Linked DNA regions of Drosophila melanogaster. The protein of the gene in region 3 interacts with the protein of the main gene of each other region in a pairwise test. Each region holds a gene or a part of one and is shown on either strand. Other genes may lie near its edges.

The links.
Region 1: the proteins of CG3342 (region 3) and CG5292 interact in a two-hybrid assay, tested with the Drosophila melanogaster proteins (one large-scale study listed by BioGRID).
Region 2: the proteins of CG3342 (region 3) and CG2278 interact in a two-hybrid assay, tested with the Drosophila melanogaster proteins (one large-scale study listed by BioGRID).
Region 4: the proteins of CG3342 (region 3) and CG8173 interact in a two-hybrid assay, tested with the Drosophila melanogaster proteins (one large-scale study listed by BioGRID).

The regions. Positions count from the first base shown.
Region 1 is NT_033777.3:17,150,073-17,157,497, forward strand, and holds CG5292 (uncharacterized protein), read left to right. Parts: upstream 1-1,788; 5' UTR 1,789-1,901; coding exon 1,902-2,384; 3' UTR 2,385-2,422; intron 2,423-2,478; 3' UTR 2,479-3,447; downstream 3,448-7,425. Other genes in the region: Det (deterin), read left to right, coding at 1-105, 167-298; Smug (Single-strand-selective monofunctional uracil-DNA glycosylase), read left to right, coding at 584-895, 957-1,487; Mur89F (mucin related 89F), read right to left, coding at 3,448-3,735, 3,812-7,425.
Region 2 is NC_004354.4:8,163,455-8,173,614, reverse strand, and holds CG2278 (uncharacterized protein), read left to right. Parts: upstream 1-3,348; 5' UTR 3,349-3,718; coding exon 3,719-4,125; intron 4,126-4,194; coding exon 4,195-4,649; intron 4,650-4,720; coding exon 4,721-5,661; coding exon of another isoform or gene 5,662-5,826; 3' UTR 5,827-7,782; downstream 7,783-10,160. Other genes in the region: slpr (slipper), read left to right, coding at 154-2,033; Or7a (odorant receptor 7a), read left to right, coding at 7,907-9,070, 9,272-9,349.
Region 3 is NC_004354.4:6,524,338-6,531,631, reverse strand, and holds CG3342 (uncharacterized protein), read left to right. Parts: upstream 1-3,743; 5' UTR 3,744-3,828; coding exon 3,829-3,881; intron 3,882-3,955; coding exon 3,956-5,264; 3' UTR 5,265-5,526; downstream 5,527-7,294. Other genes in the region: RpL7A (ribosomal protein L7A), read left to right, coding at 201-506; Agxt (Alanine-glyoxylate aminotransferase), read right to left, coding at 963-1,134, 1,203-2,065, 2,367-2,516; CG3918 (uncharacterized protein), read right to left, coding at 5,906-6,766, 6,838-6,942.
Region 4 is NC_004354.4:17,705,587-17,713,402, reverse strand, and holds CG8173 (uncharacterized protein), read left to right. Parts: upstream 1-3,749; 5' UTR 3,750-3,961; coding exon 3,962-4,221; intron 4,222-4,755; coding exon 4,756-5,114; intron 5,115-5,190; coding exon 5,191-5,768; 3' UTR 5,769-6,002; downstream 6,003-7,816.

The DNA.
Region 1 (7,425 bases), on a different chromosome or scaffold from region 3:
ACCCTGGATGGCTGGGAGCCCGAAGATGATCCGTGGAAGGAGCACGTGAAACATGCACCCCAATGCGAGTTCGCCAAGCTATCGTGTCCCGAAAGGAATTTAACCGTATGTTCCCCATGACTCCCGAATCCAGCTGGCATCCTAAACTTGTGTATAATTCTTGCAGGTATCACAATTTCTGGAAATTCTTGGAACCGTCGTTAAAGGCAGCATAGAGAAAACCTGCAAAGCCTTCAAATCGAGCTTCGTTCGGGAGAATGAGAAGCGTCTAGATGAGTTTACGCGTAATCAAAAATAGAGCGCTAATTTTTAAACCTTAAATATACATATATAAAACTCGCTATTTATCAAGATTTTTAATAAAACGCAATGTTAGTCCATCGAATGTATTTATAAATTAAACTGTAATAGGATTTTTTTTTAATTGCTTATTTTAAACCAATCTGTCTCGTGTTCAATTTAAAAACTTCAAGGTCGTATATGGTCATACTGAGTCTTCTATGTGGAACAGCTGATTAAAACCAAATCCAATGCAGCTTTTAAATCCTGCGATTTGTTGTCCTGTTCCGCTGAAGCAAACGTTATGCTGAAGCGCAAACTGAACCAGCAAAAATGCAATCTGGAGATTGGGGAGCCCACTAAGACATCCGCAAGGCAGGGCAGTACATCGGAATTCTTTGATAAGCCGCTGTGGCTTAAATTCTACGAAACCGAAGTCAAGTTAAATGAGGCGCTGGAAAAACTGAATCCTCCTGAGAGCACACCGTTCATCTACAACCCGATAGTATATGCATCCCAGCTGCACTGCGACTATTTACGTCGCTATATGGACGGTCCCAAGAAGCTGGTATTTGTTGGCATGAATCCAGGGCCCAATGGAATGGCCCAAACCGGAGTAAGAGCTTAATCTTGTAGATTATCCGAACATATTGATACATTGACGCGCTCTGCTTCAGATTCCCTTTGGCAATGTGCGCACAGTAAAGTTGTTAATGCAGCTGGCTGGTTCGGTGGACCAACCTCCAGTCGTGCATCCCAAACGTCCAGTCGCTGGCTTGGATTGTCGGATTGAGGAGCCCAGTGGTGTGCGTTTGTGGGAGCTGTTCCTCCGACTGGCTGGCAGCATGCAGACCTTCTCCCAGCAGTGTTTCGTCCACAATTTCTGTCCGCTAGCTTTCTTTGGCGCAGATGGCAGGAACATAACGCCCAGTGAAATCAGAGGAGCTTACAAAAATCAGCTAGGAGACCTGTGCCTGCACACCCTGGAGGAACAACTGAAGCTCCTCCAACCCGACGTGATTGTGGCCGTTGGGGAGTATGTTCACAGCGCACTGAAGCGTTCAGGATATGCCAAATCCAATTGCGTTTCGGTGCTCCGACTGCCGCATCCTAGTCCGCGTTCTACTAATAATACCAATTGGCCCGAGAAGGCTCAAGCATTTTTGGAGGAGCACAACCTAATCCGATTCATGCGGAATGAGGCTTGAAGCAAAAATGGTCAATTATTTAGATAGTATTTACATATCTGTATCTGTACAAATACATTCTATGTATATATAAGGATATTACTGCACATACTATAACTTTAAAGCTCTACATTTATAAGTGAGTGGCAAAAGAGAATACATTATTAATAATTTCAGTATTCTATTGAAACAGAATTCTCTATTTTATTTTGAGATATTATTTATTTGCGGGGAATACCCCAAATACAAAAGGTGACTTCGCTTTCCCACCGTGACCGCTCGTACAGTGACCGCTCACCGTGACCGCCAGCTGTTGCGCAGTGCTGGAAAGTGCCGCCTGAGTGAGAGCTACCCATTGTTTTTGTTGACCTGGTCATTTCATCTCATCTGTTTGCGGCTTTTCACCCAGTTCGCCCGAGTCTATTTCCATGCCAAATGGCCGCCTTCATGGAGGAAGCGTTAGTGGAGGCGAGGCGGGCACGTGACGCCGGCGAGGTGCCCGTGGGCTGTGTGTTCGTTCATGGGGACAAGGTGGTCGCACGTGGCGGGAACGAGGTGAACGTCCACCGGAACGCCACTCGCCACGCGGAATTCATTTGCATCGACGCTATCCTCGCCAGCTGCCGCGAGAGACGTCTGCCGGCCCGCCAGCTGTTCAGCGAGATCACCGTGGTGGTCACCGTGGAGCCCTGCATTATGTGCTCCGCCGCCCTGCACACTCTGGGCGTCAAGGAGATCATCTACGGCTGTGAGAACGATCGTTTCGGAGGAAAGACGGTCGTGGATGTGGCCGCCGTCGTTGGCCATAGGATCGAGATCACGGGCGGTGTGCGGGCGGATGAGGCGATGGCTCTGCTAAAGGATTTCTACAAGGGCGACAATCCGGCGGCACCGCCACAGGCCAAGAAGAAAAAGTAGGATCAATTGTCGAGGCCAAAAGCGTGCGTGAAGAAGGGGTAATTATAAACCTAAAGAATTTGCTAGAGAGAACGATACAGTATTGGTTTTTCAGGAGCATGAATGGAGTCAACCACTGATCCTCAAAGAAGTAGGAAGCTATTACAGTCATTGAAGTAATATTTAAAGTATGATAAAACTATAGAAAAATAGTAGAATGCAAAAGTCTACGTTTTCGTAAAATTCAATTACTTCCAAGCCTTCCAAAATCCGGAAACGAGCAGATTACCGAAAATCCGAAGGCAAACCTCTAGTTTACTCATTATTTCAGAGGGAACAAGCCAAGAAACGTATTTATCTTATAAAAGGAATAGTATTCCGTCGAAATCATCGTGAAATAGAGAACGAATTTCAAAAACGCAATCAGAAATGAAAGTAGTTAGAATACATAAAACTACAATCGCATAAAGAATGAAAACATTAGTGCTCCAGTCATCTGCATCCTGGAGGCATACATCCGAAAGTAAAATAAGTACCACTGCATCATTCTTCGACGATTTCTGTATATGATTCAATTTATTATAATCTTTAAGCATAGTCTAAGATATATTGTATATGGCGTTCAGAACGTATGTTTTAACTCTAAGCATAAATACAATTACTGCATGAAAGCTACAGCATTTACGTGTGTGTAGTGAAGGCTGTGCCTGTTTCCACTATAGGAAGACTACTCAAAACCTTTTGTTTCCTTTTCAAATGCGTAAAGTGCAGTCTCGCTAGCAGTCCGACACCAAGAATCTAGTTTACCCTCCAACAATCGAAGCAATATATATTATAGAAATATATGGTTGTATTATAGGCTAACTTGTTTTAAGTTCCCACTTGTAAGATAAATGTCGGAGGGCTGCACCCGTGCTTAACCTAATGTAATTTCCCTACGTCCTAAGCTAACTCTTCGGTTCGATCGTTTGCTGCGCCAGCTTATTGCCTCGATCGCAATCAGCTAGCTGCCAAGCTGGCCATCAAGTGCTGGCGCAGCAAACGAACAATGGCGGGCGACTAAGTGAATCTAGACTAAATCTAATTAAATGCGCATGCTGCGGCGTCTATGGCCAATGTTGAGCCACTCCAGCGGCACGTTTCCGCCCACATTGTAGGTGGTGGGCGTGCAGTTGGGCAGCTTGCGGGCGGGCTCGCATCGTCGGCTAACGTTCCAGTAGGCGAATCCCTGCGGACAGCGGTGGATCTGGCCTTCGATGCGACCCGTCAGCTCCGAGAATCCGCACTTGACGAACAGCTGGCCGCACTGGTCGTTGTTGAGCGCGAAGTGACCCTCATCCGGGCAGAGCGGATCTGTCGTGCTGATTTGAACCTGTTGATGGTAAAATAATTAAATTGTATTATTTCATTATGGAATGTAGACTAGACTTTACAATTATACGACTTACCACATTCTGAAGTTTCGTTTCCTCTTCAAACGCGTTGGTGGTCCTCTTCATGTCCTTGGAGCACTTGTCACCTGCCGGTGGCTTGCCACAGCTGCAGGACTTGTCTTGGTAGACGGTTCCGTTGGGGCATTGGAATACCACGATGTTAAGATCATTGTTATCGGCACTTTCGCTGCACTGGTAGAACATGCCGCACTTCTCCGGATGCCGGCGGAATCCAGTGGGGCAGACGTACACGTTCTGACCTGGTCCGGTTTCGGGACAAGGAGCAGAGGTATTGGTACTGGGAGCAGGACTCTCCGTAGTGGTAGGCGATTTTGACGTTGATGTTTCTTCCCCAGCTATGGTAGTGGTTTCAGGCTTGGGTGGTTTTGTAGTGGTTTCAGGAGTGGCTGTGGTGGTTGTGCCAGAAGTAGTAGTAGTGGTTTCGGAGGCTACTGTGGTGGTGGTTTCAGGAGACGATGTAGTGGTGGTTTCAGGAGCCCATGTTGTGGTGTTTTCAGGGGCCTTTGAGGTGGTTTCAGGTTTTCCAGAGCTGGTTGTACTCTCCGTCGTACCAGGTTCCGTAGTCGTTCCCGGCGTGGTCGTCTGTCCCGATGAGCAATTGCCAGACACCTGATCGGCGTAATTGCAGGTCTCGGTGGACGTGTCCCAAACAGTTCCTTTGCCGCACTTGAAGGCATAAACCTGATATTTGCCGTTTTTGGCTGCATCCACACAACGGTAATAGCGACTACAGTCCTCGGGATCTGGGAAGAATCCCTCCGATGAGCAGTTATAGTTAGGCTGTGGCTCCGGCTGAAGAGTGGTTACTGAACCTTCAGGGGTGCTGGATTCGGGACTTTCCGTGGTTGTTGTGGGTTCGGGTTTTTTTGAGGTTGTAGGCTCTTGAATTGCATCCGTGGTTGTGGAAGGTAATGTGGTCGTGGTAATAGGTTCGCCGGTGGTAGTTGGCTTATAGCCAGGAGTTGAGGTTGTAGTTTCTACCGGAATCGGCGTTGTTGTTGGATTATAGCCCGGAACAGACGTTGTTGTTGGATTGTAGCCCGGAATACTTGTGGTGGTGGGTTCTTCAGTGGTCGGCTTCTGAGGATATTCGGTTGTAGTGGGTTTCTGGGGCTTCTCTGGAGTAGGCTCCTCCGTGGTGGTCGGCTTCTGAGGATATTCGGTTGTAGTGGGTTTCTGGGGCTTCTCAGGGGTAGGCTCCTCCGTGGTGGTTGGCTTCTGAGGATACTCGGTTGTAGTCGGCTTCTGCGGCTTTTCTGGTTCCTCTGTGGTGGTTGGCTTCTCCGGATATTGAGTGGTCGGCTTTTGAGGTTTTTCTGTTGAAGGTTCTTCGGTGGGTTTTGTAATGGGTTTTGTCACTGTGGTGGGCTCATCCGTTGACTGCGGAGTGGTGCTTCCGGGATCCTTGGACTCTTCACTTGGTGTCGTAGTGATTGGTTCAGCGGGTAACTTCGAGCACCTTGGTATATTCTCCACGTAGTCACAGGTCTGAACTTCTTCATTCCATCCCGTGCCCTTGGGACACGTAAAGTTGTACTTTCTGTAGGAAGCTCCAGCATTGATGCATCGGTAGTATTTCCTGCAATCTTCGGGATCGGCCATGTATCCCTCTCCTGTGCATTCCGTTCCAGCTGGTAGGGGTTTCATAGTGGTTGTAGACGGTGGTTGCGTGGTGCTTTCCGGACTTGTGGTTACCGTTGATGTTTCAGTTTCCGAACTCAATGTTGTTGTAGTGGGTTGAGCTCCTGTGGTCGTGGTGGGTGGCAGTCCAGTTGTTGTAGTCGGAGGCAAGCTAGTAGTTGTAGTGGGAGGCAACCTAGTAGTTGTTGTAGGAGGTAAGTCTGTGGTTGTAGTTGGAGGTAACTCGGTTGTTGTAGTAGGCGGCAATCCTGTTGTTGAAGTGGGTGGTAAATCAGTGGTGGTGGGTGGAGGTGTGGTGGTCGAGGACGTAGACGTGGCCGTTGTTCCATTTGTTGCTGGCTCACAAGGCGGTTTTGGAGTGGTACTTTCAGTGCCCGTACTGCAATTGTTGAAATTGTGGTTGCAGGTCTGCAGATCCTGATCCCATACGGTACCAGCTCCACATTGGAATGGAATTGAGGTGAAGCCGCCTTTGTTGTTCCTTACACAGCGGTAGAATTTGGAGCAGTTGTTGGGATCAGCCATAAAGCCCTCCGATCGACATTTGCCATCCGTATTGGGTGCCTGAGTAACAGGAGATGTGGTTTGGGATGATGAAGCTGTTGTTGGAGAAGAAGTGGTTGGTCTGGCAGTCACTGGACGTGCGGTAGTGGGCGGACCTGTGGGTCTCGACGTTGAAGTTTGGTCAGAAGGTCTAGAAGTGCTTGCCGTTGTTGGCCTGGAGGTCGTCGGAGTAGAAGTTGTAGGTGGAGCAATACCACCGCATTCCTTTACTGCCCACGCATGATTACAGGCCTGCATCTGGGCATCCCAAACAGTGCCAGGACCGCAGCTAAAGGGTACCATATTGAAGCCACCTCTGTCATTATCGACGCAGCGATAGAATTTGGCACAATCCGATCGATCGCCAATAAATTGTCCATTAACTTTGCAGGTTTCAGATGGATTTGGTTTTGACGAAGTCGAGCTGCTGCTGGAGGAGGACGATGAGGAGGAACCTTGATTATTATTATTGCTTGATGATGATGAAGACGATGTTGACGAAGATGTCGATTGATTTCCAGAAGAGTTCGAGCCGGAAGAGGAGCCACTATTGGAGGATGAGCCTTGATTCGATGAGCCACCGCTGGAAGAAGCGCCACTGTTTGACGATGAACCTGTATTGGAGGAGGAGCCACTGTTGGAGGATGATGAACTGGAAGATGATCCACTGTTCGACGAGGAACCACTGTTGTTTGAGCTACTCGAGGAGTTGCTGGTGCTGTTAGAGGAGCTTCCGCCTTGGCTAACCACCTTTTTGCATTTGAGCGGCTTGGTCTGGATCTGATCAGGATGGTTACAGCTGTTGGCCTCAGGATCCCATAGCGTGTTTGGAGGGCAGGTGAATGATACTTTTGTAAAACCACCCTTACCATTATCCACGCATCGATAAAACTTCGAGCAGTTTTCGTTGTCAGCCAAGAAAGTTTCCTCACTTTCACATTTCTCTGCAGGTTTGAAAGGCTTTTGTGTAGTGGATGATGATGTCTGGTTAGATGATGACGATTGATTGGAGGAGGATTGATTCGAGGACGATTGGTTAGACGAAGAACTTTGATTTGAAGATGATCCCTGATTTGAGGAAGATCCTTGATTCGATGATGATCCCTGGTTAGAAGAGGAACCCTGATTAGAGGACGATCCTTGGTTCGAAGATGAACCCTGGTTAGAGGATGATCCTTGGCTCGAAGATGATCCCTGATTGGAAGATGATCCTTCGTTGGAGGAAGATCCCTGGCTAGATGATGATCCTTGGTTAGATGACGATCCCTGATTGGAAGATGATCCTTGGTTGGAAGAGGAACCCTGATTGGAAGATGATCCCTGGTTGGATGAAGAACCCTGGCTGGAAGATGATCCCTGGTTAGATGACGATCCTTGGTTGGAGGACGATCCCTGGTTAGAAGAGGAACCCTGATTTGAAGATG
Region 2 (10,160 bases), 1.6 Mb from region 3:
CCTCGTATCGTTGGACAAATTGAACTAGATTATTTGCATATTTTTGTTATCATTATTTTTGAATTAATTTTTGTATATTTTATTGATTTGCCTTTGGTTTCTTCGTTATGTTCTTATGTTCCGTATTATTTTGATGACATTGGGGTGAATCAGTGACCGATGGGCACAAGGGCAAGACGTGGGGCCCGTCGACGATGCACCAGCGGGAGCGATCCCTATTGCCTTCGCAACTGAGCGGCGGTCAGCCGGAATGGCCCGCCCAGACCTCAACTCACTCCTCATTCAGCAAGAGTGCTCCGAATCTGGACAAGAAGCAGCAGCAGCAGAACCAGCAACAGGTGGCCTCGCTGACACCGCCGCCGGGTTTGGGAATTTTGGGTGGAAGTGGAGGCGCTGGTGGGACGCCGGCCACACCATTGTTGTACCCAGGTATACCCATTATACTAACGCGCCCCAACAACAACAACATTGGCAATTGTAAAGCCATCACCACCACCATCACAACTACCACCACCACAACCACCAACAACAACAACAACAACAACAACAGCATCTCCGCCAACAACAACAATCAGCTAAATAATATTAGTACTATTAATAGCAATAACAATAACAATCAAACTAACCTGACCTCCCAACCGAACACGATAATTGTCCTCCAAAACGGCCGGAACAACTCCAACAGCAGCACCACCAGTCAATCCCCAGCCAAGATCTACCATCGCGCCAGGAGCCAGGAGTACGGACTTGATCATCCGCTTGCTTATCAGCCACCACCACTCTATTTGGTAACGGATGACAGCTCGGAAACGGACACCGTTGCCAGTCCGACCGGTTGCTTTCACTTCCTGAAGTCCGGCAATTCATCGGCGGCCAGTGGTGCCGTGCATCTGCATCGCTTTGGCGGCAGTCTGGGCAACAGTCCAGCTGTGGGCAGAAAGAAGCATTCGCTGGACAGCAGCAGTCATCATCCGCCTGCGAACGGTAGCAATAGCTTTGCACTGCCCAACCAGTTAACTCTGCCATCGGAGGATAACAATACGTATGACCATGCCTTCTATCGGGATGTGATCAAAAAGATGTCCATGGCCAGCAGCGAAAGGGTAAACTCCAAATCCAGTGGCGACCTGACCATGTACAACTCCAGCACACCGCTGACTGCCAGGGATTGCGATGATGCGGAGGAGGCCTTCGAGGGTGGACGCTTTCAGCGTAACTTTTCCGGCTCGCAGTTTCCACGGCACTGCTTCTTCACCAGGCAGGAGGAGGAAGGGGAAGCAGAGGATGAGGACGCGGTGGCGGCGGAGGTGGACACAGCAGATGCGGATGCCGACGATGAGTGTCAAGTGCCCGCCAGTCAGATGCGCCAGAACTCCACCACGTCGCGCAAGAGTTCAGTGACCTTCCAGAGCGTCAGTTTCGAAGAGCCCGATTTTGTGGCCACGCCGCGAACGACTGCCAGATCGGATCTATATACATCCAGTGCCTCAATTAGCTTCGCCACCTACCGCTCCGCCTCGCCATCGCTGTCCTCATCGTCCACCACTGCGTCCGCCTCACCGTCCATTGCTTCTACGGAAGCCGTGAACGGCTATCACATGCAGGAGAACTCCATACTGAATACGCGTCGGATGCAAGATGTTCAGCCGCATCCCGATGTCATTAAGCTGCGGGCCCAGGAACAGCGCCAGCAGACCAAGAACCAAAAGAAGCAACGGCCCAAGCACATAACCAAATCCAAGTCTGTTGAGGCGCCAGTCGAGGGACAGCACCATGAACATGATGACCACAATGATCCCCAGCACCAGCATCACTCGGCTGGATCGAGCAAAATCCGTGCCCTTTTCAATCTCTTTACGCGCTCGCGAAAGAAGTACAGCAAGCTGGCGGAGCACAACATGGTCGGTGGACCCGAGTTCTGTGCCATTGATCCCTATCAAACCGATTTGGCGATGGGGGGCAGCAGTCGCTCTTTGAAGCGCAAAGGCAAAAAGCCGCAGACGCAATCCTGCGAGCAACTGGAGCGATGCTAAAGTCCCAGTTGTGCGCCGTGCTGCAGTGTTGCTGTTGGAGTTGGCCGCCAGATGAGAACCGCCTAATTAGCTCATTGTTTTATATTAAAACTGTAGACTAAGTCAGACGCAAAGGAAGAGCGAAGAGATGAAACAGCAGGCGAGGATTAGCCATAGCTAATGTGTGAAATTAGTAGGGCCCAGAGATACAGATACCTATCCGAATTCTTTCCGTCTAACGAAATCATAGAACTAAACAAAAAACCCCTCTGTCCGCGGTTGGCATTTCATAATAACCGAATTGTTCCTAACGAATGCAATATGTTGTGCGAAATTCACAAATCAAGTTAATCCCTAATTAGTCCAGTGATTTGTTTTGTTTTTTTTTTTGTGCCAGAGGAGTGGCTAGAAAATTGCAATGTGTAGCACAGAAGTGAGGACGAACTTTTGAGGATCAAACGGATAGATAGACTAACGCCGCTTGTACGTAGACAAACAGACACGGAGAGAAAAAACGTGTGCATGGGCCAATGGCAAAATATATTGAACTAAACCATATACATAAATGTGTAACAATTGGATTAACATTAAGCTATATTTATACCGATGCGTAAGTGCGTCCTTACACATTACACATTACACACATCTTAGTTGAACTAAGTTCTAGTTTTGTAGGAACTCGAACATTTTTTTGGAGTCCTTCCTCCTTTTTTTTCACCCCCTCAATCTTTGTAAGAGATATTTTCCAAAATTTCCATCGCTTGCGGCATTTCGTTTGGCTTAAGTACACTTAACGAAAAGTTGCGGTGCACATTAATTTTAATTTGATATTCGACTTTTTTGGTATTTTGAGCACAGTTTTATTTACATACATTTATTATGCAATCGGGTTTTCCATTTTATTTATTTATGATTTATTTCTACAAAAAAAAAAAAAAAAAAGCACAAGAATAATCGCGCAAAAGAAAGAAAGAAAAAAAAACCTGTGATCAAAAAACGATGATGAAACGAAAAGGAAATGATCATTTTTTTGTATTATTTTTATGAAAACTTTCAATTGTATATTTATACTTCATTTTACGATTTGTTCATTCTACGTTTAGTGCTCGATTCTATTTCAATGTACTTTGTATATTATTGTATTTTCCATGTTGGGGCCAAGCCAACCCCAAAAAAAAAAACAAACAAAAAAAAAAGAAGAACCAATACCCAGAAACAGAAATCCGACAATAAAACCAACTTAAGACAATCTGCCGACCAGTTTTGATTGCCTCGCAGCTAAAAAGCACAGAGAAAGTCCAATGATCCAAACTAACATTTAAATTACTTAAACTTATTTAAAGTGAAGCTATCTTTTAATGTCAATTTAACGTGAAAATGACTGAATGAAGAATGGATTTTCTCTGTGCATGAGCACAATCCACAATTTTGGACAGAGAGAGAGAGAGAGAGATTAACCTATTAATATAGGACGAACAGAGTCTCCTTGGTATGCGGTGGTTAAACTTTGGTGTTGCCTGCGGTTACTATCCAACTACTCTTGTACCCCCCGCCTCCGACTATCCGATTACCACCCGACTACCGACCATATCCCAGCCATCGTTCCCCCAAGCCAGTACCAACCATATGCCGTAACTCAATCATGTCTCATATCCGCCTTGGAATGCTGCCGATCGGACCGACCAGGCTACCAGGGCAATAGCAAGATGGATAACTGGCGTCCGGGTGCCACCAACATGCCGATTATGTCGCCATCGCCATATCTCCTCAGCCGCTTCACCAGCAACGTGCCACTGCCGACACTCTATGCCGGCGATTCGGCGCGCAAGCCGAAGCTTTCCGTGATCGAACTGTTGCTGTACAACATGGCATCCCTGCTGGCCGGAGTGGCGGCCGGATATGATGTTCGCATGTCGAACGTGTCGCCAGTGCATCCGACTTTGCTCAGCGAAGTGCCAGCTCTGAAGGCGGCACCAAAGGCAGCGATTACCGGAACGGAAGAGGTGGTGGAGGATTCACTGCCGGAACAGATCCTGGAACTGGAAGTAAATGTGCCACTGAAGCAGCAGGAGCTCAGGGAAAGCACGCCACGTAAGATAGTCACACAAGCAAGGTAAGTGCTAAATGAATCCGAAAGAGCGCGAATTCTTTATACACTATATACTCTATTCCTGCCCCCCAGATTTGGTGGCATTGAAGCTCCGGTCAGCAAATCGCAGCCCACATCTCTGGCCCGGCGCATCGGAGGCAGTCAGCCGTACTACACACCTGTGCAGCGGACACCACAGCATCAGTTGCACCATCACCACCAGCAGCAACAGCAACAGCAGCAGCACCATCATCATCATCCTCACCAGCCACAGCCAGTTCCATCGGCCGTGGTGACAACAGTAGCGCCATCACAGCCGCCAGCCGTGGTGAGTGCACTGTATGCCGGAACCCAGCCACCGACGCCATCGCCACGGCGTAAGCTGAGCAACAGCAGCTTTGGCAATGCCAATCCTCAAGCGGATGTCTTCGAGGAGTTTCGTGTGGGCGGTGGCATTGGTCCACCGCCACTTTATGCGCCAGCCGATTACCTGAGAAACGGACCCAGTTACTCCAACGATGGGGGAAACTACCGAAATGGTTACTTCGGTGAGTGGGCAAGCCATTAGACATTCGAGGAGAATCCTCCAATTTAAAATATACTAATTGCCCGTTGATAGGTTCCAATTACTTTCCATACCGGCCGGAGTTGAACTACAGCTACGAGCGTGACTGTAAATCGTATCCGGACTATTCCTACGACTATAACCATCGCCTGCCGGACTACTATGACTACCAGTATGAGGCGCCACCAGTGGTGCCGCTGCCCGTGACCGTTCCCTGTCCGGTGAGCCAGACCCGTACACCACCACCGCGGGTGCCACAGATGGGCGTAAGTGCGGCCGGACACCGACGCACTCCCTCAACCGTTTCGAACAATTCGAATGTACTGCTGGAGCACGAAGAGCTGCTGTGCTATGACTACAACAATCTCAATCTGAATGCGGAGTACGAGAGGGAATGCGAGCGGGAACGAGAGCTTGACCAGGTGCCGCCGCCGACAAAGCAGGAACTGTATGCAGGATCACCCAAGCTACTGAACCGCCTCATCCACAGTCCGTTGCCGATGACCAAGAGCAAATATGCCACGGCGGCGGTGACGCGACCAGCCAGTCTGCCCTTCGAGCAGCATGCGCTCTCGCTGGGCTATCAACAATCCGGAGCGGGTTCGGTGGTTGCTGCACTACCACCACCACTGGCCGGCCAGTCAAAGCTGCGCAGCTCGCTAAAGAAGTACAATAGTGGGAATGGTGGCAATGGGTCAACATCCTCGCAGCAGGGCACACCCACTAATCCCACGCCGCCGGACTCGTTGACCAGCGATGACAGCTCCTACTTGAGTGCCAAAGAGGGTTCCATTGGCTCCCAGCACAGTCGGGTGCGTTTCAGTCCGGAGGCCTATCTGGATGCCAATCCGCTGCCCGCCTTGGGACGTCGGATGACGGCACCGGCGATGCAGCTGCCACACCAACAGCAGCAGCAGCAACAACAACAACAGCAGAGACGCCAGCGACAGGCGTCCAGTGGCAGCACTCCGTCGCCATCGGCCTCATCCTCCTAGCAGTCGCGTCTGGCGCTAACCTTGCAGTTGGCGCGGAGTCCGGGCGCGGACATTGGGACCGGCGGAGGAGCCGCTGACTTGGCGCTGCATCAGCAGCGAGTACCATATCGCTGGTACTCGGGAGCTCGGCGATCTCGATCGGCGCACTATGAGTACCGCTTGTGAAAGAGCAGGACAGGCACATCCAGGCAAGCGAAAAAGAGAGGGTTAGCCATAGCAGCTGGAAGATCTGGGAGGCGATAACTCAAGTTCACAGAAAGCAATTGGAAGAGAAATGCAATATCAAAGCGCAGATAAATCAAATGGTTTTCAGGAAGAACTAGATACATACATATATATATATCTATATCAAACGGATGACAGTAGTTGAGATGGGGAATACTACGAAATATCCTTGTGGCTAAGATTCCAGATACTATAGGTTCTTGCAGAATTTGATACCCACTGTCTGTACATAAAAGTAGCTACCCAAGTTGTTTACACCCAAGTACATATATCAACTTCGATGTTAATGTTAGCCAACCTATAGGCAGGGAAGGAAATCTTCAGGAGATTCACACAAAGATACTCCCGATCGAAAAATGTGCCCGAGGATTCAGACATACACACCCATAGACCCATAGACTTGTGCAGCCCCCGACTTGTGCGATTTGCCTTAAAAGTAGAGTGAAGACTTCACTAGTTTTGCCTAATGACGGATTCCAAAACCAAATATATGTATATCACACATCCAAACGAATCCCAAATCCCTCGTATAAGATTAGCCGCCCCATCAACGGATGGCACGGATATGGCTGATATATACTCCCATTTATGTATTATACACCTAGGTATACCTATGTATAGTGACGAAGGCCTCCACTTGCGTTCTCCGATTTTTGATTCAGATTAAGTGCAGCCAGCTAGCTAGCAAGCCATCATCAACAACAATAATAGATAACAAACAATTAATTCCGAGGACACCGCATCCCGATCAAGACACACGCCAGCCGTAAGCTCCATTTTTAAGTCTGAAAAAAATGTTTATATATTCATATATATATATATATATATAGTTATAGACAACTAGATATAGACCGATATAGACGCGTTAACCCACAAAATCACTAGCTCTGAATTGAATACCAGTTTAACTCGATCGATTTACAATTACATATAATGGATATATACGAGTATATACATGCATATACATAAAGAAGCATATTGCTGCTGTTTTTTCCAAATACTGAATAGCTATGATATTGATATAATGGCAATGAATTTGAACTACCTTTGCATATATGTATGTATGTATGCCACGTACACAGATACTTATTATATAATCATGTTTGTTTGCAAAGTGGTTTTTTTTTTTCTATTGGAAATATCTCGAGATATTCCTCAAGTTTACCAATTGAGATAATACCGTGTATATACATATATCTTAAGATATTTCCAGAACATCCCGAACGCAGGATGCACAAAATAGCTACCTTCGACTTTCGAGGAGCTGAATCAAATTGAAGATTTCGTTACTCGACTCGTTTGCCACGCGACCAAAACCCCGAAACTCTGGGCTACATTTTCTTGGAGCTGGTGGCAGGCAATAGAGGCCTCCTCATATGCATATGCGCATAAATTAATAACTATAATTTAGACAAATTGTTGTTTATGCTCACACACAAAGCCGAAGTTAACCAAAAATAGGAACCGATTGAACCACAAAACCAAGCAATATAGCCACAAATATCTGCCCAAAAAAAAAAAAAAAAAAAAAAAAAAACAGAAGAAGAATGAAACCAGTTAACCTTTACATTTACCCACTAGCTTAATTGCATTTGCCTGCATTATTTATTAATTAGTCGGAAGGATGGGGTTCTTCGGGTTCTTAAGTTAAGTTTATTTGTATTTGCTGCTTAATTGCCTTTGAATTAGCAAGCGAACGAAATTGAATTGAAATCGAATTGAAAAGTTCGATTCTGATGGGGGGTTGGGAATAATGGGCGGTAGATTTGGGGGAGGGGCGAAAAGGACTCACAAATATGCAATAACAAAATGCTGCTTGTGACTTATGTTATGTACAAATTAGCAATTAACAATTGACGATTCATTTAAATCATTCAGAGACCAAAATGCGAAAATAAAAAACTATTTTTTATAGAAAAAAAAAAGTAACGAATCGAATCGAAATGAGGGTCAACTTTTAATTGGGCAGCCTATAAAAGAGGCCATTCGAATATTCCCAGGCGTCAAAAGTCCATCAGCCATGGCGGTGAGCACTCGTGTGGCCACAAAGCAGGAAGTGCCCGAATCCCGGCGAGCGTTTAGGAATCTCTTCAATTGCTTCTATGCCCTTGGCATGCAGGCACCGGATGGCAGTCGACCGACCACGAGCAGCACATGGCAACGCATCTACGCCTGCTTCTCGGTGGTCATGTACGTGTGGCAACTGCTGCTGGTGCCCACATTCTTTGTGATCAGCTATCGGTACATGGGCGGCATGGAGATTACCCAGGTGCTGACCTCCGCCCAGGTGGCCATCGATGCGGTCATTCTGCCGGCCAAGATTGTGGCACTGGCGTGGAATTTGCCATTGCTGCGCAGAGCAGAGCATCATCTGGCCGCCTTGGATGCGCGGTGCAGGGAACAGGAGGAGTTCCAATTGATCCTCGATGCGGTGAGGTTTTGCAACTATCTGGTATGGTTCTACCAGATCTGCTATGCCATCTACTCCTCGTCGACATTTGTGTGCGCCTTCCTGCTGGGCCAACCGCCATATGCCCTCTATTTGCCTGGCCTCGATTGGCAGCGTTCCCAGATGCAGTTCTGCATCCAGGCCTGGATTGAGTTCCTTATCATGAACTGGACGTGCCTGCACCAAGCTAGCGATGATGTGTACGCCGTTATCTATCTGTATGTGGTCCGGATTCAAGTGCAATTGCTGGCCAGGCGGGTGGAGAAGCTGGGCACGGATGATAGTGGCCAGGTGGAGATCTATCCCGATGAGCGGCGGCAGGAGGAGCATTGCGCGGAACTGCAGCGCTGCATTGTAGATCACCAGACGATGCTGCAGCTGCTCGACTGCATTAGTCCCGTCATCTCGCGTACCATATTCGTTCAGTTCCTGATCACCGCCGCCATCATGGGCACCACCATGATCAACATTTTCATTTTCGCCAATACGAACACGAAGATCGCATCGATCATTTACCTGCTGGCGGTGACCCTGCAGACGGCTCCATGTTGCTATCAGGCCACCTCGCTGATGTTGGACAACGAGAGGCTGGCCCTGGCCATCTTCCAGTGCCAGTGGCTGGGCCAGAGTGCCCGGTTCCGTAAGATGCTGCTCTACTATCTTCATCGCGCCCAGCAGCCCATCACGCTGACCGCCATGAAGCTGTTTCCCATCAATCTGGCCACGTACTTCAGTGTAAGTCCGCTCTACTATTAGTTACCATAGTTAGAGATGATAGGTTATGAATAACAATCTTGGCTTAAGAGTTAGAGGATTACCAACTGAGGACATACTCTTTCTATTTTCCAAATACAAAGCACATACCAATTTTCTTATCCTTAGCATGATGTTTATAGATTTTCCTCTATATTAATAATATTTTCTCCATATCTTTAGATAGCCAAGTTCTCGTTTTCGCTCTACACGCTCATCAAGGGGATGAATCTCGGCGAGCGATTCAACAGGACAAATTGAAGACCATTTATCGTTGATGCACTGAGAAATACATATATATAATCTATCAAATTTCGCATAATATGCGTATCTATATATATATGTATCTATAGGATGCGCTAGTTTTAGGGATTTTAAATCCCAACTGTAGCTTGATTATCCATTCCAATATGATACACACTGTATTGTAAGCAAATAAATTAGAACACGATGTGCCAATTTGTTTTTTGTAGTGTATTCCCTGCTGTAGATATCAAGTAGATACCGAATTAAAAGCGAAATCAATAATGATCGCTAATCGGCCAGAACAGAAGCCTGCTAACCACCGAATCGCATTGGCGCACCTCTATTCCCGATCCCCAAACCCCGATCACCGCTATCGCAATACTCATCCACTTTTTTGCATCCCAAGGCGAAGCACCTGTCAGGAGCGGAGTGGCCACCTCTTCGTCGCCATCTCCATGCCAGATCCACTTGGCCACCGATTTCTGGCCCAATTCGTAGTGGTGACCACACTTTGTTGTGCTTTACCGTTGGCCCGTGCACTCAGCGAAAAATGTATATGTTATATATGTTTATATTATTGTATAGTATCAAGATCTCAAATCAGATATATAAACGTTGCTTGGAATATATGTATATAGTTATGTTATAAAATTAGTTATAAATACCTTTTTCTAGATTGAAATCAACTTTTTCTGCGTGTAGCTGTTGGCCAAAGTGGGGAAAAGTGGAATGGAAAGGCTGGCTTTCCCAGTCTGGTTCTCAAATTCTGGCCAAGCTGGAGATATTCGAGGCTGGCCAAATGTTCTTCTGCTCTCGAGCCGACAGG
Region 3 (7,294 bases):
AATTCTTTGTTAAGGATTGCTAAATCCTTGGTTTATCTTTGAATTAGTTGAAGAGCTAACAACTAGATCTAATAACTAAGCCAAAGATAAAGTTAACATTTGAAGAATTGAGGGCAACTTGATTGCATACAATGCGCAAGCCCACGAACCACGTGGTTTTCCAAGACGACAATTGATTAACGCGTTAATTTCCATTCCAGCTGGTGCTCTTCCTGCCCGCCCTGTGCCGCAAGATGGGCGTGCCCTACTGCATTGTGAAGGGTAAGGCTCGTCTGGGTCGCCTGGTGCGTCGCAAGACCTGCACCACCCTCGCCCTGACCACCGTCGATAACAACGACAAGGCCAACTTCGGCAAGGTCCTGGAGGCTGTGAAGACCAACTTCAACGAGCGCCACGAGGAGATCCGTCGCCACTGGGGCGGTGGTATCCTTGGCTCCAAGAGTCTGGCCCGCATCTCTAAGCTGGAGCGCGCCAAGGCACGCGAGCTTGCCCAGAAGCAGGGTTGATTCAATCTGAAGCCGGTCCGGTCCGATGGTGGAGACTTTTAAGTACACATGGATGAAATTAGTTGGGCCATGCTCACTGAATTTGATAACTAATAAACTTTTAAGTGTACAATTTTTTTTGTTTTTTTTTTTTTTAATCTAAGTGCCTGTGAGAGTGCTTTTGGATGAGTCGATGATTTGGCGTCGGCTTGGATTCAATAAATCTAAGATGTATCCATGCCCATCACTCACTTTGTTTTCCGCCAATCGGGAAGTTGTGCCTGTGAGAAAGAGAAGTCTTCTTGAATTGAATTTGGCCAACTTCCGCTTCTTTGTACCATTTCTCTCTAGATGACAACAAATTTCACATGCCATATGTTTCAAACATTTAGCGAACAAAAGACAAAAGGAAGTACATTTAGTTTTCCATATTTGTTTTTATTTTATAACTAGTGATAGGAGCAGGGCAACGATTTGTTAGATTTTCGATAGATCCGTCTTGATCCCCAGCTTGCTGCTCTGAATGGCCTCGTTCAGGATGCTGAGCACCATGTCCACGCGCTCCACGGTAGCGTTTTCGCCCATTAAACCGATACGGAAGACGTGCTCCACCGTGGGACCCAGACCACCGCTAATCTCAACGCTGTACCTGGAAAAAAAGAAAGGATTCAATACGGATCTCTATCGAGGATTCGCGTCCAGTTGTACAATACTCACTTGCGCATGGCGTACTCGGCCACCTTTTTCCAGTCGACGCCGAAGGGCACCTTAATCGTGTTCACCGTGGGCAAACGCTCCTCCTCGCGCGACACAAACATCTCAAGACCCAGCTCCTCGATGCCCAACTGCAGTCGCTTGGAGCACTCCTGATGGCGACGCACCACCGCCTTGAGGCCGACGGCACAAAAGTGGGCCAGTGCCTCACGCAATCCGTAGAGCAGGGTGGAGGATATGGTGTGGTGGTAGATGCGGGGTGTGCCATAGCAACCCCAGTACTGACCAATCAGCAGGATATCGAAGTAGTAAACCTTCGGCTTGGTCTTTCGCTTTCGGATGCGGGTCAAAGCACGCTTGCTGAACGAAATGGGCGTTAGACCGGCGGGACCACCGAGCGATTTCTGCGAACCCGTGTACGCCACATCCACCTTCCACTCGTCCATGAGGAATTCGGTGCCGCCGAGCGAAGCCACCGTATCGACGATGAGGAAGCAATCGTACTTGCGGCACAGTTCGCCCAGCTCACGGATATTCTGCTGGATAATGCCAGTCGAGGAGTCACCCTGGGCAATGAAGAAGACCTTGGGTCGATGCGCCTCGAAGGCGAATGTGATCTCTTCGTGCGACAGTGCCCGGCCGAAACTCGCCTCCACGTAGTGAACTTCGGCACCATAGCGACGGGCCATATCCCCGGCCCGATGACCCCAGACGCCCGTGATGCCCATGAGCACCACATCGCCATCCTCGATCAGATTGCACAGAGCGGCCTCCATGCCCGAGTGGCCGGCGCCGCTGATGCACATGGTGGCATCGTTGAGTGTCTGAAAGATGTACTTAATGCCCTCCTTCACCTCGTCCATGATCTGCAGATATACAGAGATTAATATACAAACACCTGGCCATGCTCAGTGGGAATAGCTCAATTCATGGGGGGATCACTAATATTAGATTGCTATAAAGTATAAGAGATGTGCTGGTTTCACTCGACTGGCTAGCCCACAGATCTCTGACCCAGCTCAGCAAATGTATCTCAATGTTTCACTTCGTTCAGATAAGGTACAGTGCGGCCCATGAGTATATGGACTTGGGCTTAACTTTTCGATATAATTCGAGTATTAAGCTCAATCTTGCTAGCACTTTTGTGGTTTTAAGAAGATATTGTACCTGCAGGCATTCGGGATGCATGTGACCCAACACCGGATTGCTCATGGCCTCCAGGACGCGATGGGAACAGTTGGAGGGTCCGGGCCCCATCAACGTCTTGCTGGGCACATAGAGCGGTCGCTTGAGTACAAGTGGCGGTGGTACCTCCATGGTCTTTGTTCCCTATTTACGTAATCAGATCTCTGTGTTTACGACTGCCTTATCGCCTTCTGCTCTCTAATCCGCTGTGCCAGGTAGAATGGGTGTTACTACTGTTTGGTGATGGGAGTTGGTTTTTATGGGCTGTCTCTCTCGGTGGCTGGCCAAGATCGGACTGAAACGCTTGCCGGGCTGCTGGCCACTTTATAGCGCACCGGATCGCAGCTTATCGCCGCAATTTTCGCCGATGAACGCACTTGAACAAGTGGTAAATGATGCGCTCTCCCGCTTATCAAGGCATCAAGATCGAGAGCAACTGCGTCGTTGGCGGCACAGAACGAAATTTGGAATAAGAATAATAAGTTAAGACTGCCATTTGATGGGTCAAAAAATCATACACAGTTTTAAGACAAGATCTTTACGAAATAATATGACTTACTACTCAATTAATTTCATTGTTAATCTGAAAGAAGTACCATTTTTTGTTTGCAGTGTGCTGCTGCTGATTCTTTGAATGGCCTTGGGAAGGTTGGCGGACCAATGTCTATTGTGAAATAAGAAATCCAGCGAATTCAGCAAGACGAACCTTGACTGTGGGTACGTATACGTAATGTAGCAACTTCTTTTTCGAAGCTGGAAGCATCTGCAGAGTGCAGAGATCAAGATCTAGCATCTAGATCTTAATTCTCTCGAAATCTCAGCCCACTGACAACTAACATTTGGGTTGATAGCAGTGCCCGTATCGTCAGTTTTTCCATTAGCGATTTGGAGTGGAAAACACATCGTGACCAGGAGGTCAACCGCCAATAATACAAATGTCGTATTGAGTGGCCGAAAATATTTATTACCATTTCGCTGGTGGTGAAATTAGAATCAAAATAAAAACAAAAACATAGATTTAGGAAAGTGATAAGCAGTCAAATTAGCAGGTCGTGACTATAAAATTTAAATGTTCGTTTAAATATTGATTGATTTTTCCATATTTAAGGCACAAGCATCTTTTTAAAAACATTGTTTCGAATGTAGAAGTAAGTTCAGTTTGGTTTTAATATATTGAATTAATTATATTGAAACGAATTGAATATAGAATATATATTCTATTACAGTTGACTATATTAAACATATATATGTATAAATATGTTTATTTTATGGCCTTTTTGCTTAATATTTAGTTATAATATTTTATAATTTTCCTGAAAGCAATTCACCGGTGGAAACAAGTTTTCTTCGTTTTGGCGCTTGGTCACACTTTCTGTTTCGGTCAAAACAAACTGAACAATAGTTAATGTTTTTAAACATTTTCGATGCGACTGCATAATTAGGCATGGAAATCGGCAACGATCAGTCCTATCAGGACTTCTTCGACAAGTTGCGAAGGTGAGTCTGTTTCTGGACGGGATTGGGACACTTGGCACAGTGGTATATACATATTAAATATATATGAACTCCAGTGAATCGGGTCCTCGCAACTTGCGCCAGATCTTTGAGGACGACGATCGTCCGCTGGCGAACGAATCATCCAGCTTGCGCTATCAGCCAGGCAGCTCCAAAAAATTGCAGGCTGGCAAAAGACCGGCCATGACCAGGAGTAGCACCCAGGAGACGGGTGATTCACCGCCTGCCGCCTGGAACACGGCCATTGCCAAGGTGGTGCATGCCTATCGGAGCAGCGAGAACGTTGGACGCGTCGGCCTGGCCCTCTCGATTCTGGGCGAGATGGAGGCCAGCAAGCTGATTGTCTACCGCAGCAAGAGTCAGGTGCTGACCACGCTGCAGTTGACACCGCGTGGCGGCAAGGTGATACTGCGCGAATCCTATCTGCAGTTCTACGATGACGAGCAGCGCTTCTGGAGCCTGCGATTCGACAAGGAACCGGATGAGAAGGAATTCATAACGTTTATGGTCAAAAACAAACTGCCAGTGGAGCACTATCTCAGCGAGATCTCATCCTCCAGCTCGGCATCGCCTTCGCGTGAGGATTTATCTAAGATCCGAACTAAAGCAACGGTCACAAAGACGACGCCTAATCCGCCACAGCCGCAACCACGTTCCCGCGTAACGCTGCCAACGCTGGAGAAGGCGGACGATGAGGAACGCGAACGGGAAACAGAGACACCTTCCAATGAGGATGTGATAGTAACGCCAGTGCCGCGACCCATAGGTTCGTCAAATGCTCACAGGAAACTCAGTGCCAGTTCCCTGGCGGTGGCCAACGCTTCAACGAGCAGCGATACTCCGTTGGCTGTGACGACACTGGACAAATATCTAGACGAACAGCGTGCCTCGGGTGCGTTAATGGAGCACAAGATGGACGCCATTCTGCAGGCCATGAATCGCATGGGCGGCCAGTCGAGTGTTGCGCCCAAGAAGCCCAGTGATCCGCTGCTGGAACGCGACAGCGAGGACGAGATGCTGGAGCTGGAGCAGAAGCTGCTCAACTTGAAGCGGGAGAATCGAGCGCTAATGCGCAACCTCAAGGCACGCGAACAGGCGCTGGAGGATCTACGCTGCTCGGCGTGCGCCCTTTGCGAGGAGCTACTAGTCCAGAATGGCGAGCTCAAGTCGCAGAATGCCCAGCTGTTGTTAGCCAGCCAGCATATTTCCGATTCAAGCACAGCTGCTTCGCCTGCCCATTGCCGCAATTGCGAGTCGTCTTCCCGGCAAATAGCCAAAATGCAGCTACACATTTCCGCACTGCAGGAAGCGCTGCGAATCTTTCAGAAATCAGGCGACTCCAGCTCCAGTTCGGGTCGGTTATAGCACCTAACGTAGGCGTATTATATATGTTCGGTATTACTATCGAAAAGTGTATTAAATCATTTGTTAGGTCGCGTAACATATCCACAAATACAAGCCAGACACTATTAGCTATCTTTAAGTCATTAGATTGCCATGTTATTGGGCTCATTTACAAAGCGATTTTCTAATCTATTACAACTATTATTACTAAATGTGAGATATAAAATATGTTGCGGAAGATTATAATTAATAGCAACCCATGCTTTGCTCTCTCTCAATTATGAAAAACTCCGACTTCCTCTTGTACAAACTAATTTGTTGTATTTGCAGCACACATCGGGCTGAAATTTAAGGTATAGGGACAAGTCTACGGTTTGCGCGTCTCATAATCCGTGGGAAGAGTTCATGGAGAAGTTGTTTTGGGGCCTGGAACTGGAAGTGGAACTGGCAGTCTCTCTGTGGAAGTGAGGAGCGGAAAGGATGGGCTGGCGGTCCTGCTCCTTTACGTTTTTACGGCTAAAATGGAAAGCGAGCTAGTTTGCGGAGCGAGTGCTTTGGGAGGCAGCTGTCTATCCATCCTGATGCTGATCCAGATCCAGATACAGATCCACATCTAGATTCTCTTGCTGATCCAGTTAATCCTTGTTTGTTTCTTTTCTTTCTCAGTAGGTGCTGCTGTCGCTGAGGCTGCTCAGGTAGCTGCTGCCGGCGGTCGGAGCACCGGATCCGCCGGCACGATGTCGCTTCCGCTTCGCCTTGGTCTTCTTGCGTCGCAGCATGGCCGTGTCCGTGGACTTGCGCTTGTACTTGCCCTGCCGCTTCTTCTTGCGTCCGTACTCATCCGATTCACTGGTGCTGGACTCCTCGTTGTCGCTGGAATCCGATTCAGACGAATCGCTCGATGTGGAGGAGTCATCACTCGAATCATCGCTCGATGACGACGATGAGCTGCTGGTTGATGACGAGGAGGAGGAGGAGGACGACGACGACGACGACGAATCCGAGCTAGAGGTGGAGGATGATCGTCGTCGTTTTGACTTCTTGTTGGTGCTGCCGCTGCTCGGTCGCTTGCCTGTTTTGGTTTTGGCCAGCTCGCTGCTGCTGTTGCTGCTGCTATTGTTGGTGTTTGTGGTCTTTTTGTGCTTCCGGCTCCTCTTCTTGCCATGCTTCTTGTGCCGCACCGACTTCTTGTCCTTGCTCTTCTCGGCCAGCTTGTGGCTGCTCTTTGAGTGGCTACGCTTCTTGTCCTTGCTCCGGCTACCCTTCTCCTTCTCTTTCTCCTTCACCTTCTCTCTCTCCCGCTCCCTTTCCCGCTTCTTCGCCTTGAGCCTGTCGCGGCTCTTGTCCTTGCTCCTGTCCCGTTTGCCTGCCGCGGGAAGCACCGCTGGCTCCGTTGGCGGCGGCACCTCAGCGCCACTCTTCAGCTCCTGGGCTCTCAGTTCGGTGAGCGGCGTAAGGTAGTCCAGCTCCGAGTCTGAGCTGGTGCTCTCCACATCCAGCAGGATCTCCTTGTTGGGGTCCACCTGTTCAGGATAGCGGTTAGCGGCGGATAAAAGCAACATAAACATGCGGTCTATGCGATTGGTGCGCTTACCTTGAGAAAATTGCGGCATTGGTAGGTCAGGTGACCGGCGTAGCCGCATTTCTTGCAGGCAGCCCGCAACGTATCCTTGTTGACGCTCGCCAGTGGGAAGTTCATGGTTGCCGCTCCGCTGCCGGTCGTACCTTTGCGGCGTTTGGCGGGCTGGGGCTGGGGCTCTGGCGTTGGGCGGGCTTGTCCACTGACTGATTATTATTTCGCCTCGCGCACCATTAATTGATATGTGCACAACAACAACAACAACGATACCAACAACAATGGGGTAAAAATGAAACGCGAGTTGAAGTAAATCGCGTTTTTAGTGCGGCCATGCGGCCGCGTTTCGAACATACCATGCCGGCAGCACACCGGTCCGCTTAGCCGTGACAAGCACCGATAGGCTGCGGTATGCTAGCTGGGGTGACACTGGCACGGAAATACCGTTGCCCGAACAAGAGCTGGTCACACTGCA
Region 4 (7,816 bases), about 11 Mb from region 3:
GTGCCTGTGCGCTTGTTTGTTAACCGAGTTTTGTAGGTGGGCTTCAAAACCGATTGCAAGAAAACAACAAACGTAAGAGAGACGTGGACAAAGACGAAGCCAAATGGCAAGGCAAAAGGTTACCATAGAATGCCATCAATGACCTTGACACACCAACCCGCACGCACACACGCACACACACACAAGCACACACGCACGCACATTCGTGTTCACCTGGAAATAAACACACCTTCCTTCCGCTGCGGGCAAATAACCGTAACAGAAAGGTAAGAAAAAAAAATAAAATGGAAAAATAAAGCAAATGAGGCAAGCGAACGAAATCCGAAAACGGCAATAAGAGAAGTTGCCTTCAAGGCGAAGGTAGCCTTTTTTACTGTTTGCTGCCACTTATCGCGATCGTTTGATTGTGTGTGTGTGTGTGTGGCTGTCTGCTATTACCAATTTCTGCTGTACGTGTTCCCCCAATGGCCCATGCTAATCCAAATGCACATGGGCATATCGGTCACAGGCGACAAAAACATTTACTATTTGCCGTGGTGAAACCCTTTTACCAGTTATAGATTTAATTTATATCTGTTTTGAGACAATAGCTTTTAAACTGCTTTTATTAACTAGCTTTAAATACTTTTATTCAATACTGCATTAATTAATTTGAAAAACTTCTGCATGAAACCCCTTATACAAAGTATTATTTACTGCAATATGTTTTCCGGAATAAATAGAAATAAGTGGTGATTTACAAATTTGTTTAAATATGCGGAGCTTGTTAGTTTATGAATACATTTTAATAGATTGGTTATAGTTTTTATATGTATTATTTCTAAGAAGTTGTGCTAAGAGATTGACTCTAGTTGTACGTTTATCCTCTATTACTTTTAGCTCTCCAAAAGCAGTATGCATATATATGTACATAATACAAACGATCTTGGGGTTCCGTCCAAAGATTTCCACTTCACCTTCGACACTTTGGTCGCCTGAACATTCGATGGGAGGAGAGACCCTGCGCAGGGGCTTTGTTGTCTATTCGCCTGGGTATTTGCAGTGTACTTGTGTGTGTGTGTGTGTTTTCACCTTTTTCCGAGGGACGTACGAGCAACCCCTCGCTGAAACAACACCAACAACTAAGGCAGCGACAACCTGCGACAGGTAAAATGTGAGATAACGGGGAAAAACGCTAGTCCACAAACATGAACCTGCCCGAAAAATGTGGAAAGGTATTTTTTCCCAGGCCAAGGAATTTGCACAGGTGACACGAAGACACTTAACTCGAGAGAGCTCATCCCACAGCCCACACCAAACCAAACATTATACATCCGCATCCACATCCGCAACTGCTTCCACATCCGCATCCGCCGGTAGGGCACTTTTCCATCCGAATTTCCCCTCTCCACGGCAAAACCCACATATGAACCTGCCACATTAAAAAGCCAACTTATGAACACTGGCTCACCATTTTTATGCACTTTTAAAAAGGTGTTAAATGTATAGCCAAGTGATAAACAATTCGAGTTGGTCACTGGGTTTGACTTTCGTGTGTTGGCATACTCCAGAAGCATAGTTTCCCATTGAAAATTTGCTATGCTCAATTGAATGCTTCCTTAGTAATGGTTACCATTAAAACGTATATTCATACCAGACATTGTAGCTCTTTAGCCAACTTCAATCTGAGCCGCATTCATTAGCAGCAGTACACATAAAGATTGTATCTAGTAAATTGTATTTAATGGTACCTAATAGTAAATTAGATTAGATCTATTTGTTTACTTTGAGTTGCGGTTCTAATCGCAACATTTGTTTTCCGACGGTGGGCACTTTTGGGTACCATTATTTGTCTTCAATTGTTTCCCTTATCTCCTGGTACTATTAACTTTTAAAGTAATCTTAGTTTTGAGTTTGTAATTAAAAATCCAGGGGATAGTTATAGAAAACTATGTTTATGTAGCTATTCCTTATTTAGACAGGGCTTCAATAGGATCAATTGGATGAATTAACCAATCATTTAGTTTAAGGGTATGACAATATCTTAATCTTTAAGGTTTAAGAGAAAGAGATAATCGTACATTGAAAACCATTAGGTTCGATAAAAGGGACCAGATTACAGCATCCCCGCTAACTAACTTTATGGTTCATTAAACTTTAGTTTCATTAAGTTCATTTAAGTTCATTATTATTGAATGAGGTTACACTACAACCCTATATTTCACTTATAAAACATAAATTAGAGAGATATTCACTATGAAGTCTATGATGTTATATGTATGTACATATGTAACTCCCACTCACCGCAGACATCCAGCCATCCTTCGATTCTGCTGGGGTAGGAAATCGTTGAGGACCGGCTTAAATACGTTCGACGTCCCATTTTGTGGGGGTGGTAATTTTGTGGATTTGGTTTGGGTGGATGCTGTGTTCTCACTCTCTCGGCTTTTCTCTCGCGCGCTCTCTGTCGAGCGCTCTTCTCCCCTTTTTGGCTCTCGCACTTATCGTTTAGCTTATCGACTCGGCTCGTTGAGTTGTTGTTGTTGGTGCTGCTGCTTAATTTGAATATTGATTTTGTTTGTTCTTGCTGTTGTTGTTGTTGTTATGGTTTTTATTGCACTTGTGCCTTATGGCGATTTTGGGGGTTATTGTAAAACAAAAGATTAAAGCAAGATTTGTGGCAATTTCAAGAGCAGGTTGCCGCCGCCTTTGTTGTAGTTATTGTTATTATTTGATTTTTAACGATTTCGTTTCCAATTCCACTCTTTGTTTTAATCACCATATTTCCTCTCTCGCTACACCTGATTTTCGATGTTTTTGGCGTTTTTCGCTGTTTTTTCGCCGTAACAGCTGAGTGGCATTTTTGCGGCTCCTCTTTTCGTTTATATTTTCGGTTTCTTCTTTAGTTATTCATGTTTTTTGTTGTTGTTAACACCAGAAACCAGTAAAGAAACTTTATTTTGCACCTTACATACGCGTGTGTGTGTGCGTGCGCGTATATTTAATTCTGGTGTTTTGTATTATTTTTAAATCACGAACTCCGCCAAGCATGTGTATATTTCGGTTTTTTTATGTTTGTGTGCGTGTGTGCCCGATCCAGAATATTAACGGAGTTGTTGTTGCTGTCGCTTTGTGTTTTTTGGATGTGACACCCTCCCACACCGCACGCGAAAAAATAAAACAAAAAATTTTAAAAAACCCGCGGTCTGGATTTTCACACACGTCCGCTTTCGAATCGCCGCGCTTGTGTGCGATTCCACTGGTGTTTCTCCACAGACTGCCGCCTCTCTGCACTCCTCTTCTTTATCGCATCTCTGCTTTGGCACGGCTTTCGCGCCAATTGTTGGTGTGAAAATAATACCAACGAAATGCGGTACTTCTGTGTCGGTTGCTGTCTGGGTAACACGCACCTGTATGGGTTCGCGTCTTGGCTAAGTGTCATATATTTAATTTAAAGCTTAACGGTACAAAACGACCGGTATTAACATGGAAAATAGTGTTGCTAACTTTTATATATTAAAAACGGATATTTGTTGGCCTTGTATTAGGTACTCCATCCAATTTCGTTGCCAACATTATGGAACTGGATTCTATTTCTTATAATTCGTAGTTAATTGGAATTTATAAGGAGCAATTTGAATGCCAACGACTAAATATTTAGTACTGCACGCCGGTCCACTATTCAGTGTGACCAGTCGCACAGCGCCCTAGAACAGCAGGCGTGTGTTTTGTTTTTCAGTTACTTCAGACGGAAGTTTATAAGCTATTACTTAGTAGAGTTTGAGTGCTCTACAAGGCAGTAACAAGAACATTGCGCTTAGCATCTATTTTGCGATTAATTCCAGTCAAAAGAGACGCCACGGTCACTCTATCGCCTAGGACCAAACACAACACCAACACTGTTGCATTCCATTTACAGTTTAAACGGTGTTTTGTGCGCGTCGCTTTAATTTTGGTTTAATTGAATTTTACTATTGCTGCGATGGACACGCCACGCCGCAAGCTAAGAAATTTGCACCTGGAGAATGTCCAGAACAGCAGCACTCCCATCAACGTGCCGCCATCGCCGATGATGAAGACCCTGGGCCACGGCACTGGGATCCGGGTCTACCGCTTGGACCGCTCGCCTCGTCTCGGCGAAATCCGCTCGCCCTGGGCCGTCAAGCGGATCACGCAGAACATGCGGGTCAAGAAGGATACACTCTTCAACGAGCGAATTGTTCACGAGGCCGATATCCTGCGGTAGGCTCATCCAAATCCAGAAGCCCAATCAAATTGGCAGTATGTGTCGGTGTCCTGCGTGTGGGTGCATGTGTTTGTGCGTGTGCGGATGCTGAATGTGCGTGTGTGCTAGGGTGATCCGATATGTGGGTCAGCAATTCATTAGGGTGGCCCACAGCTGAGCAGCTGCAGTCCATGCTCGCTAAAATACCCCATTGTAATCTAGGCTCACTTCGAATTGAATAGATCATCCTTAAATTCCAGCTTAAAATGTTATTTTGCATATATCCCATCTTTTAAACAAAAGAATCTTTATTAGATTACAAAAATTATAGCATTACCAAACAAAATATTCCAAGTAAGATCCTAAGTCATCGCACTTCAGCCGGGAAACTCAATACTAGTAAATAAAGCTATTATTAGATGTACATAGTTTTTGCTTCCAATGCATCGAGTTACCTACAGGTGACTGCGTAAAATGTGCATTTTTTATACACACTACGCAGGATTGCTGTAATAATTGCCCCCTATAAACAGCACCTTTTGACTTTACAGCAAACTGAAGCATCCAAACATCGTGGGATTCCGTGGCGTTATCACCAATGACGAGGGCATCAACACACTGGCACTTGAAATGTGCACCACTTCACTGGGCTCCATACTCGAGGAGCGACACGACGAGGATCTGGGCCCGTTGCCGGCCAAACATACCTATAAGATGATCATGGACGTGGCCCAGGCACTAGACTTTCTTCACAACGAAGCTCACCTCATGCACGGCGACCTTAAGTCCTTTAATGTCCTGGTCAAAGGCGAGTTTGAGATTTGTAAGCTGTGCGATTTTGGAGTCTCTCTTCCGCTGGACGAGCAGGGCGAGGTTAATTTCCTAAAGAATCCCGGACTGCGCTATGTGGGTGAGTTTACTGACCCCATATGATATAAATAATTTCACATTCAGTCAAATTAACCACTTATGTCTTAATATTTTAGGAACTAACCTCTGGTGCGCACCGGAGGTCATAGACGAAGTGGATGTTATTGACAGCAAGGCAGACATATTCAGCTTTGGCCTGGTTATCTACGAAACCCTTGCTTTGGTGCCTCCACATACCTTGGAGCTTGATGCAGCACTGGGAGAGGATATGGACAGTTCGCACGATTTACCCACCGACACGGACAAGCTGCAGTGCAAACAGTTGGACTTCTCCAGCGATGAAAACAAGAACGGACTACCTTCTGCAATGGAAGAACACACAGACAACGATATGAGTCAAGATTATGACGAGGAGGATGATGAGGAGGAGAAGGAAGAGGAGGAGGAAGACGATGAAGAAGATGATGACACGAAGGAGAACGATATCTCTTACTTTACACTGAATAACCTTCATTCCGCCTATGGTACACGACCACCATTGCCAGTGGCCTTTCAACTTAGCGACGATTACAACTGCGTCGTGGAGCTGTTTTATCTGTGCACAAATGCTCTCAGCGAGGATCGTCCAGCGGCCAAGACCATTTGGCAGTGCCTGGAGAACAATGGCGCAAATGTTGCGACAGAAAGCGATTAGACTGATAATCATTCTCAGCCTCCGAACTCCACAATCTTCCTCTTGAATATAATTTGATTAGATGACTCATTTTTGTTTTGAATGTACAATTAATTAGCTATAATTTTTACCCTGTAAGAACAAACCAATTACGGTTAAAGCCCCAAAACGCGAATGCACACTTAAGCAAATTGTACATATTCAGCAAGCAAAAGAGTGGTCGAATAAATCGAATCCCCAAATGGAACAAAAACTATATCGTTAACTGGTTTTTTAATTCGCAGTCTTCAAAAGGGTATATGTAAGATCTTTTTTGATTAAGGCCCGGCTAATGTATTTAAATTGATTTTTGTAAGCTAAAAATAAGTGAAAGCAATTCAGTTGAATTGAAAAGTATTGCTTACAGAGGGAAACAATTTTTTCGTTTATAAATGCAGGAACCGAATATCATTTTTAACTTTTTTGTATACTTTAACGCCTCGAATTGGTTGTGATATAAACAATAAACTTACATTGTTTTGCTATAGCCTCCCAGGAAAAAACCAATTACACACCAGATCGGTTACAAGTTCTCTTAGGTTTATTAAAAAATAATAATACATACATCAAAATATAAGGTTTTCTTTCGTGATTTGCTTTTCGGTCTTTTCAGTTGCTTAGCGGGAATACACATTAGCTTTTGTATATATATATATATACATGCGTTTGCTTGGAAATCGGGATATTCTGGCGACTTTTGTTCGATGTAAGTTCAGATTTCTCGATAATGCAAGGGTATATGTGAAATGGGTATATGAGGGGAGTGGTTGGGCGGCGATACGCATTTAGTTATAGTTTCAGATTCGCTGCTGTCTATCCTAGATCTTGCTATCTACCCAGGGTACACGTTCGTATGGGGTTAGTTATGCCCGTTGCGACCCATAAATATTAATATTGTTAACTTCAAGTCGAGCAGATCGCATTGCATCCCATCTGCCGTGAGTGGCGTTTTCTCAATTTTACTAAAGCGAATACACAGACTTCAATTCAATTGTGTGTACAGGGGTACGTACATAACATAGATTGTATTCGTTTATATATTCTCTTGTATATATATAAAAAGTATCGAATTGCTCTCTTGAAGGCGAAGGCGCTGTTGGTGTTTCGTTTGTATCTTAACGTTTTGTTAACTTTATCTCCTCGTTTTTCTATCCTTTCTCCATAACTCTAAGTGATGACAATGACAACAAAGAACTTGGACGAGTATTGGACACAATGACGAAAAAACAAAAGTTAAAAATTACAAATGGTTTTTAAAATAAACAGATATAATGAGTAATGCCGAAAAAATAAGAAATTGAGCTAAACAAAACATAGCAGATATACGCAAAATGATCGGCTCAAATTAAAAACAAGGCTTACAAATCAGGAAATATAATTTTGTTAGGCTTTTCCGACTTGTCACAGTACATAAAATGGAATGTTTTTTTTTTTTATAAATTATTCGTGCTCGTATATGTGATTTTGTTACAATTATTGCCGTTTCAAATGGTTAAGTTAAATAAATTGATCTGCCTTCAGCATTTGATGCCCTCTCTCTATTTCACTCTCTCCTCTAGCTGTCTCACTCTAGTCTAATACAACAAGCAAGAATAATAACAAGACGTAAATCTTACAAATTTAAATACACATATATATATATGCCAGGAAAAAAGATAAAAACAAGAGACTGCATTCAAAAACGTGCAAATGAATAGGTGTGTTTTCTTTGACTTTGAGTGTTTCGTGGAATGTATGGAGGAAAGTCGTATGATGATTACACATGTATATACAATCGTGTTTTATATATTGCTCACCTACAATCGGACTGGAAATTTTGCAGAACGTTAAATTTGAATGGCCAGGATTAACAAGAAATGAATGGGATATGGCCGATATGTTGTTTACTCAATCAATCAGGCTTTCAGGCTAATACCAATAGATTTTATAAGGTGACTTTTCAAATCATGGCTGGTTGAGCTATGACAGTCGCTTTAGTAAGTGAGCGATATACAAGCGATCAGTGTACATGTGAATAAGTTGGCCTAACT